Nothobranchius furzeri: one gene and its partners. The protein of the gene in region 2 purifies or fractionates together with the protein of the main gene of each other region. This does not show direct contact. Links are inferred from orthologs where the notes say so. Each region holds a gene or a part of one and is shown on either strand. Other genes may lie near its edges.

The links.
Region 1: the proteins of otub1b (region 2) and ubiquitin-conjugating enzyme E2 E1 purify together in Homo sapiens (affinity purification with mass spectrometry; 4 studies listed by BioGRID and IntAct, with this or other methods). This does not show direct contact. The link is inferred for Nothobranchius furzeri from reciprocal best matches to the Homo sapiens genes OTUB1 and UBE2E1.
Region 3: the proteins of otub1b (region 2) and foxm1 purify together in Homo sapiens (affinity purification with western blotting; 4 studies listed by BioGRID, with this or other methods). This does not show direct contact. The link is inferred for Nothobranchius furzeri from reciprocal best matches to the Homo sapiens genes OTUB1 and FOXM1.

Annotation. Positions count from the first base shown.
Region 1 is NC_091745.1:63,675,682-63,679,436, forward strand, and holds the start of ubiquitin-conjugating enzyme E2 E1, read left to right. Parts: upstream 1-1,185; coding exon 1,186-1,340; intron 1,341-1,874; coding exon 1,875-1,925; intron 1,926-3,755. UniProt on the Homo sapiens protein: Accepts ubiquitin from the E1 complex and catalyzes its covalent attachment to other proteins. Catalyzes the covalent attachment of ISG15 to other proteins. Mediates the selective degradation of short-lived and abnormal proteins.
Region 2 is NC_091743.1:88,838,206-88,841,960, forward strand, and holds the start of otub1b (ubiquitin thioesterase OTUB1b), read right to left. Parts: upstream 2,637-3,755; 5' UTR 2,408-2,636; coding exon 2,365-2,407; intron 1-2,364. UniProt on the Homo sapiens protein: Hydrolase that can specifically remove 'Lys-48'-linked conjugated ubiquitin from proteins and plays an important regulatory role at the level of protein turnover by preventing degradation.
Region 3 is NC_091741.1:41,405,742-41,409,423, forward strand, and holds the start of foxm1 (forkhead box protein M1), read right to left. Parts: upstream 2,940-3,682; 5' UTR 2,825-2,939; coding exon 2,811-2,824; intron 2,730-2,810; coding exon 2,248-2,729; intron 2,171-2,247; coding exon 2,028-2,170; intron 147-2,027; coding exon 1-146. UniProt on the Homo sapiens protein: Transcription factor regulating the expression of cell cycle genes essential for DNA replication and mitosis. Plays a role in the control of cell proliferation. Also plays a role in DNA break repair, participating in the DNA damage checkpoint response.

The DNA of each region.
Region 1 (3,755 bases), on a different chromosome or scaffold from region 2:
TTCGGCATTGTGAAAATCTGCGCTGATTCCCAACATGTTTGCGTTCCCAGCTGATGTTGATGCGCGGCGACAGAAACGAGAAAAAGAAAAACAAAACGCTCGAGGTCGAGTCAGCAGCAGCACGGGGGGAAGGGCTGCGTCTATGTGCTGGAGCGGTCCTCTTTTTCTCATTCTTGCTTCAAACCTTTAATTGTTACATTTATATGTGTCTTAATGCCAAAGGCAGCGGTTCACAACGAGAGCTGACAACACAGCCGTCGTCTAATTTCACGTTATTATTGTTTTATCCACAAAGACTTGAGGCCCGAGTCTTCGTTACCAGTTAAGTTTTTTATGAAGCGGGGAGGACTAATGCTGGATTACTGATAGTGCTCACGAAGAAAGGTGATTTGAAGAAACATATGGCGTGTATATACCATCAGACACGTTTTAATTTATAGCTTACGATACAAAATTACCATATTTAATGTTAACCACGAGCTAGCTAAGGCTAAAGACTGTTAACCGTAGCGGAAAGCGTTACCTAACGAAAAAAAAAACAGAAGGCGAATCGCTGTGAAATCTCGCGAGAATCCTATCTCATGTCTGCAACATGAGATCAAAACAAACAAGCTAGCTAACTGATGTGTAATGTTTTGTGTTTGCACCATGGTTTGCACATGATCACATCCTGGATTTAATTTATTCTTTCGGATGTAAATGTTTTCAATATCTTAATTTTTTCTAATTTTATTCAGACTTATATATATATATATATATATATATATATATATATATATATATATATATATATATATATATATATATATATATATATATATATATATATATTGCTGCTAGGCTATATCAAGGAAAGGTGGTGCATAAATGTTTAGAAAATTAACATTTTCAAATAAATAATTTCCACAAAAACCTTTTAAAAAATAAGACTGTTTTCCCCATTATTAAGCACTTGGTTTGTTCATTTTTATTCCAGCTTGTTTTGTTAATCCTGATAAAAACCAGATGTTTTGTTTTTGTCAACACTACACATTTGAAAATGTGTTCAGAAACATAAACCTCCCAAAAGGAAAATACTATTACCTACCTTTATTCACAAGTGCTCCACATTTTTGGGTTACTTTCACTTTTCAGATTTCCTCCCATTTCTCCTCAGGTTGCGGCTCTTCTCCAATCCTAACCGGTATGTCGGATGAGGATTCCCGTGCCAGCACCAGCTCATCCTCATCACCACCTTCCTCCAGCCAAAACAGACACAAGGATACAGCTTTCAAGAAGAAACGGGAGAACAAAACCAGCATGAGCAAGACCTCCAAGCTGCTTTCCACCAGCGCCAAAAGGTTAAAAGAAATCTGTCATACAGCAATGGGCAGATTATTGTTGCTCATTAGATTCATGTCTGTTTAAAACCCCTTAAGACAACAATGTTGTTTACATATAAATATGTAACTTTTAGTAGCTGCTGATGGCAGGATAAGCTCAGAAACATGAGTAAACGACAGTAGAATTTGTTTTCATGACTTCCCCTTGTGTATTTATTTAACAGTGAAAAAAACACATTGATGGTCAAAGAGGAACTAGTTTAATTTGTGCTTAGGCGGTTGCTTCTATAAGCCAGAGTAGTGTTGTAAACCATGTTTTTAAGGAAGTACCAGTTTCTTCTTCAGTAAAAAAAAAAAAAAAAAAAATCTTCACAGTTTCAGTCTCATTCAACATTCTTTTCTACAAAAACAGTCAAACAGCATTAAGGTGTGTAAGTTAGTTTTCTGATGCCATGTTAACTAGATCATATTTATTTTTAATCACTTTGTTTGATTCTGAGTAATTCCACCTCTGATCCTTCCATCAGTAATTGATTTTTGTAACATTTGCAGAATTCAAAAAGAGCTGGCTGAAATTACCCTGGACCCTCCGCCAAACTGCAGGTGAGTTTACGGTTTTATGGTTCTTTATGTACTCACCAGCACGACAGATCAGAGTTTTGTCCTGATATTGGCTGATCCAAACTTCCTAAATGTTGAAACAGGTAAAATCATTATTATAGGTCAGTTCACAGTTCCAATACCCACACTGCACCCTGTGTCTTCTGTGAAGTGCGCTTAGAGGAAGTGTGCAGTAAGGCTCTGTGTGCTGAATTGGGACAGTGGCCGTTGCATCATCGACCACTGTGCATGCAGGGATGCCGGTTGCTGTTTGTGCTACTTTTTAAAAAAGCTTTATTAACAATTTTTAAACAGTTGACACAATTTACATTCATTGCTGTTCACATTAAATTTTAATCTTAAACATTCAGTAATGATATTTATTCATATAAATATCATTAGTCGTCTTAAAATGAACTTCTTTTGTTTGAAAATACATATTTTCAAATAAGGCACTTGAGCCATTGTTCAGTCTTTTCAAAATGCCTTCACAGCAATGGGTTGTGGGTAATACCCTTTGCCCAAGTCCGCATCAAGTGTGCAAAAGGGGTGTGGTCAATTTCCGCACTTGAGGATTGGTACACCTTGTGCCCCTGGACAGGAATGCGCAATTGAAGGGCACAAGGGTGGAAGTGTGAGTATTGGTATTGAGCCTAACACAACAACACTGGTTGACTCCTGGTTTCACAAGAACATGTGTCTAGAATGAGGAGGCGGGGCCAAGCTGGTGAGGCTGTGTTGGGATATTCCACGTCCTACTGATTGTCCCTCACAGGGGCCAGTATTACCGTGTTTTCACTACAGGAGTTCAGGGACACTTCTGGGAGAGGGAAAATTCTATAGCTCTGTCCTATCAGCTGTTTCTCCAACCAATCAGCAGAACGTAACAACAAGTCCCGTCCAGCGGCACTACCGGGCCTTTTCCTCGTACTTGCTCCAATTCAGGTTCTAGGTTGGTTCCTGAAAAGCTCTCAAAAGTGGCCCTATTGAGTCGGCCTGGTGAACGTAACGAAGGTCCAGCAAAATGACCCAGATGTTCCAAAAAAATGAAATGGGCCTTCTGTGTTGCTTTTTCCTGAGTACCGTGGGAGAGTTGAATCCAGTGAAGAACTGAATTCCAACAGCAGAATAAAGCAGGTTTAGATGGCACCACCTACAGTAAAGGTAACTAATCAGGCTTCCCACTGTTATCAGATCTATTACCATGAAGCTTCGTTGCAATAAACAAAATTATGTGTTGTCTCAGTTTGAGTTACAAATAGTTTCTTTTTCCTGAATGGAAATGTCAAATACCAAAACATTCAGTTTAAATAAGCAGCTGTTCTTCCAAGAGGAACTAAAATATTAAAACAAATGCGTTTTCATCTGAAGATCTGTATTTACAGCTGTAACTGAAAGTTGAACTTATTTAAAAAAAAAAGCTTCCTTCCTGGTACTGAAACCAAATTTATACTTCTCCGTCAGCTCCACCAGGGAGAGAGACGCACGAATGGAGACGTTTTGCCCCCATACTTCTCCGTCTCCTGGGGAGTGTTACAAAGCAATTCCCCACCAGGACAATAGAGGGCGTAGCACTGTTCCGTGTTATCCGGTCCAAGATGGTGTTTATATTGTGTTTTTTGCATTTAAGAATGGCCAAAACACACACACAAATGCCCTGGGGCCTCATTTATCAAGCTTGCTTACGCACAAAACTGGGTTGGAAAACTGTGTAAGCAACTTTCAATGCAAACTTTGGGATTTATGAAAGAGAACGTAGCGGGAAAATGTGCGCAACTTTAAGTTGACTAAGGACCTGGCTTACGCACATTTTGGACATGGAGAGCACCTGCA
Region 2 (3,755 bases):
CTGTATTGGTGAAACAAAGACATTTCTTATGGGATGTGGATGACACATTTCACCCCTGTAACATCAAAACCATGATTTATTCATTTTGTTGTTATTAAACACAAGAAGGTAACAGTTAGCCATGCTTTACTTGTTTGTTGTGGATATTTGTAGTTAAAGGGACTTTAGGGAGTTTTGAATTTTTATGCTCGTGATTGCCCCCTCTGGCCAAAAGCGTAATGGCAGCTTCAATAGTAGGCTCGTGTACGAGGTGCGCATGCTGTACGTGCACACTCCTTAACGAAAATAACAGCTGAGACGAAGCTCTGTGAAGCTGTGTGTGTGTGTGTGTGTGTGTGTGTGTCGGAGGACAGGAGAACGTGCAGCTAATTAATTAAATAATTTGGTTCTGTACTTTTCTCTTCAGCACAGCCAACAAAGGTCAGTCCTCCTGCATGCTCAGATCATTCCATTCCTTTACTTGAAAAATTGTTCCAAAATGAAAGTTGAACCCACATCTTTTTTCATCTGTGAATTCAATGCCGTTCGGCGAGTCTCAGATAAAAATTTGGGCATTTTACTGTAAAAAAATATATCATTGTAAAAACGAAATTCTGAAACAACCATGTTCACGTCGAGAATCGAACCGGGTCTTCTGCACAAAAGTCCAAAAATTTGCTAGGCGAGCTAAATCGCCAGTGGTGTCTACTGCGTCTGTAACATTTATATCCTTGATGACAGCTGAAACAACGTTCAAAGAACGGTTCGGAGGGCGATGCCTGAGCGTGAACGCGCATGAAGCAGCCTGCTCGACCCGAGCATCTCTCTTTTTCTGTGATTTTACAGAAAAACAGGCAATCACAGTAAAAATGCCAGGGCTCATTCTACAGGACCAGGGCATTGCAGGAGAATGTATGAAGAAGACATTTATTATTTCTATACATGTTTTGACTGTCACACTTCCATAATGCCCCTTTAATGTAAGTTTCTATTTAAAAAATGTTTTATAGGAACCAACTGACTGGGTTTGCACAACAGATCAAATATGTGTAATAATAAAGAGAAACAAACCCTTTCAGTGTTACTAAACTTGTTAAACTAAAAAAAATATTAAAATTTGTGTTTGATGAAAAGGTTAGACAGGTTTAAACTGGTTACAGAACCAGAAGATTTCCCCTTAACATTTGACCGTGCAACTATTTCAGGACTGGGTTCATTCTAACGTGGTCTCGCTGCCATAACAGTAACAAACTTCACAAAGGGACCAAATGTATTATAAACTACAAATGAACTAAAGCAAACTCCAATATCATACAACAGTGTGTATTTTTATATTGTAGTGTCTCTGGACAACTTGTGTGATGGTGCTTCTTGTAGTTTTATAAACTGTGTGATATATATATATATATATATATATATATATATATATATATATATAATTAATTAAATTAAATCGGCTCTACTGAAGAAATTTATCGGCCAAAGCTAATATAAAAAAATTGTAAATATTGACCCAATATATTATCCTATCACTAAGTTACTTTTATTATAAATGAATCTGAACCCGCAATGCACACAGTCTTTTTTAACTAATGCTGATTAATGATTATTCAGTTAGAGACACAAAGTTGCACCTGATTCATTAAATTGGTATAACATCCAATTTTATTGTGTTCTGTTTTATAAAGTTTTACACTCGACTACAACTCTGTCACTTTCATGAGTCCACACAGACCATGTCTCAGGTATCAGGACAATGCACGACATGTTAAATCAATTGTAATATGTGACATTGTCTCTGGTACACACGACAATGAATCTGATGTTTGAAACGACGCATAGTTTCGTCATTCTGGAACAAATTCTCTGAAAACCGATAGCTGAGTTAATGAAGCAATGAAAGGGGGAATTAAGAACTTCATTTTCTTAGATTGAGAAATTCTTCTACCCCAGTGACCATGAAAGAACATGAATACAAGTTGATCCAGTCCAGAACACCGCAGCTAATCTTGGCTAGCATCGAAAACAAAACGTATTTTGAACGCAAAAAAACGTCACTGTTCTCCAAAGATAAATTAAGCTTATATATTCTGCCTTAACACTGAGCTCATACATCTGATATTAATTTAAGTATAAAACCGCGTAACTGTCATGTTTTATTTCTCTGTTAATCACTTAACAACCGTCGTTTTTCTTTGTGTTGCAGCGGCTGCTTGCTAGCGTTAGCTAAGCAGTTCTGGCCCTTAAGGTGGAATGTCAGCCACCTTAAACTCGGAGAGGGGTGGATTAAAGCGGGCTGCGGACTAACATAAACGTGGGCTTCACCTGACAGGGAAATGACAGCGCAGGTGAGAGAATATTGGATGGTTCAAATCATTTCGTTACCTTCCACCTCTCCCTGTGATGATTCCTGCTGTTCCTCCGCCATCTTAGCTGTGCAGATCTGCTTCCTCCTCCCTCGTGACCTCAGACGTTACACACTTCCGAGCGGAAAACACAACAAATAAAATCCAATTATTCGATCAACAGTCGAGTAAAGCAACGAGGGCGTCGGTTTTCGTGAATAAAGCAGAAAGACCGTTATTGTTGTTAAAGTTGGTAAAGTGTTGCCTGAAAAATGATTGTTTGAAATATACAAAAGGGTGATTCTCTGAATTTGGTGTTCTTTGCGTCCCACAGGTTTACCACAAGGTTTTTCATATTAAATAAAGTACAAATGGAAAGGTTTATGTTTCTCTGTATTATGATGCACAAACATTGTTTAAAAATCATGTTTTAAGACTTAAGAGTAGAAGTCAGCCAAGAGCACGTCCCCTATGACCAAAGATGCTTTATCCGTTATTGTAGCCTTTCTGGTCGGGTTTTGTTTTGCCATTCTCCTTCAACCCAACAGAAAATATCTGAGAAAAATATATAAATTATCTGTGAAATTGTGCAATTGAATCAATTACCCAGTTTTTTAATTTTATTATTATTTTAAAAAAAAATTAATGTTCAAGATATTTCAATACAAGCTAAACATGGAACAAGATACAAAGTATCTATAAAATTATGGTAAAACACAAGAATAACACAGAAAGAATGACAAAAAGAATACAAAAAACCAGAGAGCATATTAATCAAATGTCATATTAAGTTTGTCCATAATGCACATAGTTTTAATAGCTTTTTTTATTTTCAAGAGTACTAATTGTAGTGATGTATGTAATTAGTTCTTTGTGAAATTTACCATTGCCTTTTATGTATGTGAAACTTCCCCAACAGGAGCAGAAGTTGTACGAGACATGAAACATCCTTATTAATGTCCTCACTCATCTACACACACAGCCATGGAAATGAGTCAGCATGCAGGGAAGAAGTGCAGCAGCTGGAGGACTGGTGTACAGCTAACAACCTGACCCTGAACACCAACATAACCAAAGAAAGCATCATTGACCCAAGACGGAAAAAAGGTGGAGCACCAGTGACTCACAATAAATGGAGAGTGTGTGAAGAGGATCTCACAGTTCATGTTCCTGGGCACAAACAAATCAGAGGACCTCACATGGACACACAACACCAACTGTCTGATAAAGAAGGCACAAAAACGGCTATACTTCCTGAGGGCCCTCAGGAAGACCAACCTGCCATAAAAAGTACTGGTGTCATTTCATCACTGCTGCTGTTAATCACTGAGTGTGCTGATTAACAGCATCCTGGTGTGGTACAGCAGCAGCTCTGCAGCTGACAGGAAGGCCCTGCAGAGATTAATCAAAACTAGAGAAAATAACACACCT
Region 3 (3,682 bases), on a different chromosome or scaffold from region 2:
TCGATCCATGCATAGATTTCCTTCAGCGTCATCCTCCTGTCCTTCTTGCTGTTGATGGCAAACTGAATCATGGCCATGTAGGAGTATGGAGGTCTCTCTGCTTCGGTACCCTGGACAGCTTCTGCACTGGCGTATGGACCATGTGGCTGCAAATAGTCACAGAAAAAACACAAAGAGAATCATCTATATGTGCAACAATCATAGAGGATATTTTATCCAACTGAAGAAGAAGAAAGTATCATTTCTACAGCGCCTCTCAAGATAAAAATCACGAGGCGCTTCACAAAAACAAAAAATGTAAAAATAGAAAAAAGCATTTAGAAGATGTTTAAAAATATATTAAAATGAGCAAAAATAGACAATTGTGATTAAAAAAATGTTAAGAAAGAGAGAGAGTGAACAGGAAAGAGGGAAATCAGTGGATCCTGAGGAAGGTGGAATAGGTGAGGAGAGCAGAATAAAGAGAGAGAGGTGAAGAAGGTCATACAAAAGCCAGCTTGAACAGGTGAGTCTTCAGCTGCTTTTTAAAGGAGACCCCTGAGTCCACTGATCTCAGGCTCAGGGGGAGAGAGGTCCAGAGTCTGGGGGCCACAGCAGCAGATGATCTGTCACCTTTGACCTTTAGCCTGGTGCTGCACAACCAGTAGGCTTTGATCACTGGACCTCAGGGACCTGCTGGGGGTGTAGGGACTAAGAAGATCACCAATGTAAGATGGTGCTTGTCCATGTAAGGCCCTATAGACCAGAACCAGGATCTTGAAATGAACCCTGAAGTTGACTGGCAGCCAGTGAAGCTGGAGGAGAAGCGGGGTGATGTGGGTGTGTTTGGAGGACTTGGTCAGAAGCCGAGCACAGGCGTTCTGAACCACCTGTAGACGGTTCAGGGAGGTTCTGCTCAGACACGTGAAAAGAGAGTTACAGTAGTCTAAGCGTGAGGAGATGAAGGTGTGGAGCACAGTCTCAAGTTCAGAGCGGGACAGAATGGGACTCAGCTTAGCAATGTTCCTGAGATGGAAGAAGGAAGAGCGAACAAGAGAACTGACATGAGAATCCAGGGTGAGAGCTGGGTCAAAGGTCACGCCAAGATTCCTGACGGAAGGTTTGGTGTGAGAAGTAAGCTGACCAAGAGAGTCTCTGACTTTGGGAACCAGCTTGTCTGGGGCACAGATGAGGATCTCAGTCTTATCTTCATTCAGCTGTAGAAAGCTCCCAGCCATCCAGGTTTGATAGAGTCTAAGCAGGTGTGTAACAGCTGCAGCTTAGACATCTCATGGGGCTTAAAGGAGATGTACAGTTGGATGTCATCTGCATAAAGATGGTAGGAGATTCCTTTGAAGGAGCTCAGGATGTGCTGAAGAGGAAGCAGATAGAGGAGGAAGAGCAGAGGCCCCAGCACAGAACCTTGTGGGACACCATGGGTAAGGGAGGTGGTGGAGGACCTAAACTTGGAGACGACCACAGAAAAGGAGCGCTCAGAGAGATAAGAGAACCACTCCAGAGCAGTTCCTGATAGGCCTACCCAGTCTCTCAGCCTCTCCAGTAGCAGGTGATGGTCAACAGTGTCAAAGGCTGCAGTCAGGTCCAGCAGGACCAGAACAGAACAGTCCCCTGCATCGCTGTGAGTCAGAAGGTCATTAGAGACCCTAAGAAGTGCTGTTTCAGTAGAATGAGCTCTACGAAAACCTGACTGGAAGCTATCATAGATGTTATGTTCATCAAGAGCAGCTGTGAGTTGTTTAGCCACAACCTTTTCCAAGATCTTGGAGATGAACGGAAGTTTAGAGATGGGTCTGAAGCTGCTCCAACTGTAGCCCAGAGTGATGAATTTTTACTGAGAAATACTAAAATATTTAATTTCAAATCCAACTATCTAATTAAAAAAATCATATTTAACCTCCATTCTAATTGTAGCAACCAAATAAGCCTGTAAATCAGTCAGTAGTTCGTCTGTGGTTTTAGGGGACACTCGGGAGTCCTGTCAGAACTCAGTAGGCCATCTGCATCACACAAAAAGAAGCAAGACTGACCTGTAAATTCTGGGATGTTGGAATCGATTTGTCTGTCGTCTGTTCTTCAGAATCCGGCTCTAGGGCACAGGAGTCCATCTTGCCCAGCCACTGGATGTTTGTGAGGCTGTCGTCTAACGGGCTGCAACTCGCTTCTTTAATCACTGATGAAAGAGAAGAGTGCTTAAATGGACAATGATATGGGATGGTGAGATATCAGAGACAGCATAAACTGTCATACCGTATTTACAGCCAGATTGATGATCAGCTTCAGTGTTGAATGTGGCTTCCGAGCTTACAGATTGTCCAACTGGACTCCTCGTAGGAACAGATTCTTCTCTGGCAAATTCTTGACAAGAAGATCCATTGTCCCGGCTTCCACTCTCACTCAGAAGGATGAACTTGCTTGGACCCTGGTCACCACACTCTTTACTTTTTGCAGTAATGGCATCAATAACAACCTGAAGATCCACGTCTTTGGGGATGAAAACCACCTGAGTGTCAGACATGGATGAATGACCCATGATGTGGACACCATCTAGGAGGCACTGACTGGCAGCTGGTTTTGAGGATTCTTTGGAGCTTGAAGCAGCAGATGGAGAGCGTGCGTCAGCTGCTTCATTTTGCTGAAAAGGTAGTTTTCTTCTTTTCAGGATAAGGGGTCTCCTCGGACTCCTTCTCATGGTCAAATCATTGAAACGTCCATCCAAATTCACTGGTAAGCTGTGGGAAAAATAAAAAAAATATATATATATAAAAATAAAAAATAAAGAATATTTTAGGAACACATTTTTTTTTCTTTACCTTGCTTGCATCATATCAGAAAACCGTTGTAACGCAAATCACCGGTGGAAAGTTAAGTTGTTATTTTACGTGTCTACGTATCTATTAATATTAAAGCACACGATTAATTCATGTTATATTAAAACACGCTGTGGGTTACGCTATTAAGACAAAAAGTTCCGACTAACGTATCCGTGTTACGGCTCAGTGGTTATCCGAGGTTTTATTCCTTGGCAACTGGAGAATTCAGGCGTTAAATTCACACCGGAAGTATAATTTAACGTTTATTCACAATGACATGGCTAACCGTTGTATACGTTGTAAATAGTATTTCAGGTTATGACACAATGACACGTTTGAAGCTTAAATTGGGCCCTAACAACACCATGTCTCATCTAAGAAAATGGGTTTTCAGCTTAAAAGCCCGATGCTACCACTGCTGCTGGTGGTAGCTTCTGATTGCTAACAGCAAAGCTACTAAATAAAGCCAGACCTTCATATTTCTTGTTTCAGACGGCTCCGCTGGTTTGAACTCCAACGCTGATGTTGTGGAGCACTTCGCTCGTATTACATTTTTGATAAAAGATATGTGACAGCTACCAAGCCTTTATTACAGGTTGTTTACGTGTCAAGTCAGAAACCGTTTTTGAATTTTGGCGCTGTGGGTGGTGTCCCCCTTCATGTTGATCACGTGGTAAAAACGGGCCAATGGGAACAAGAAGCTCAACGGACAAGAAGTACTCTAGGGGGCGCTAAATCACCCACATGCGGCTGCGCAAGTCGGAGAAAAGACGACAAAGAAGAAACCCGGGAAGTAGAAACAAAAGATGATTTCATGAATTGACTAACTGTTGTTTGTTTTTAACTTTGTGGGACGATTTGAATATAGTGTC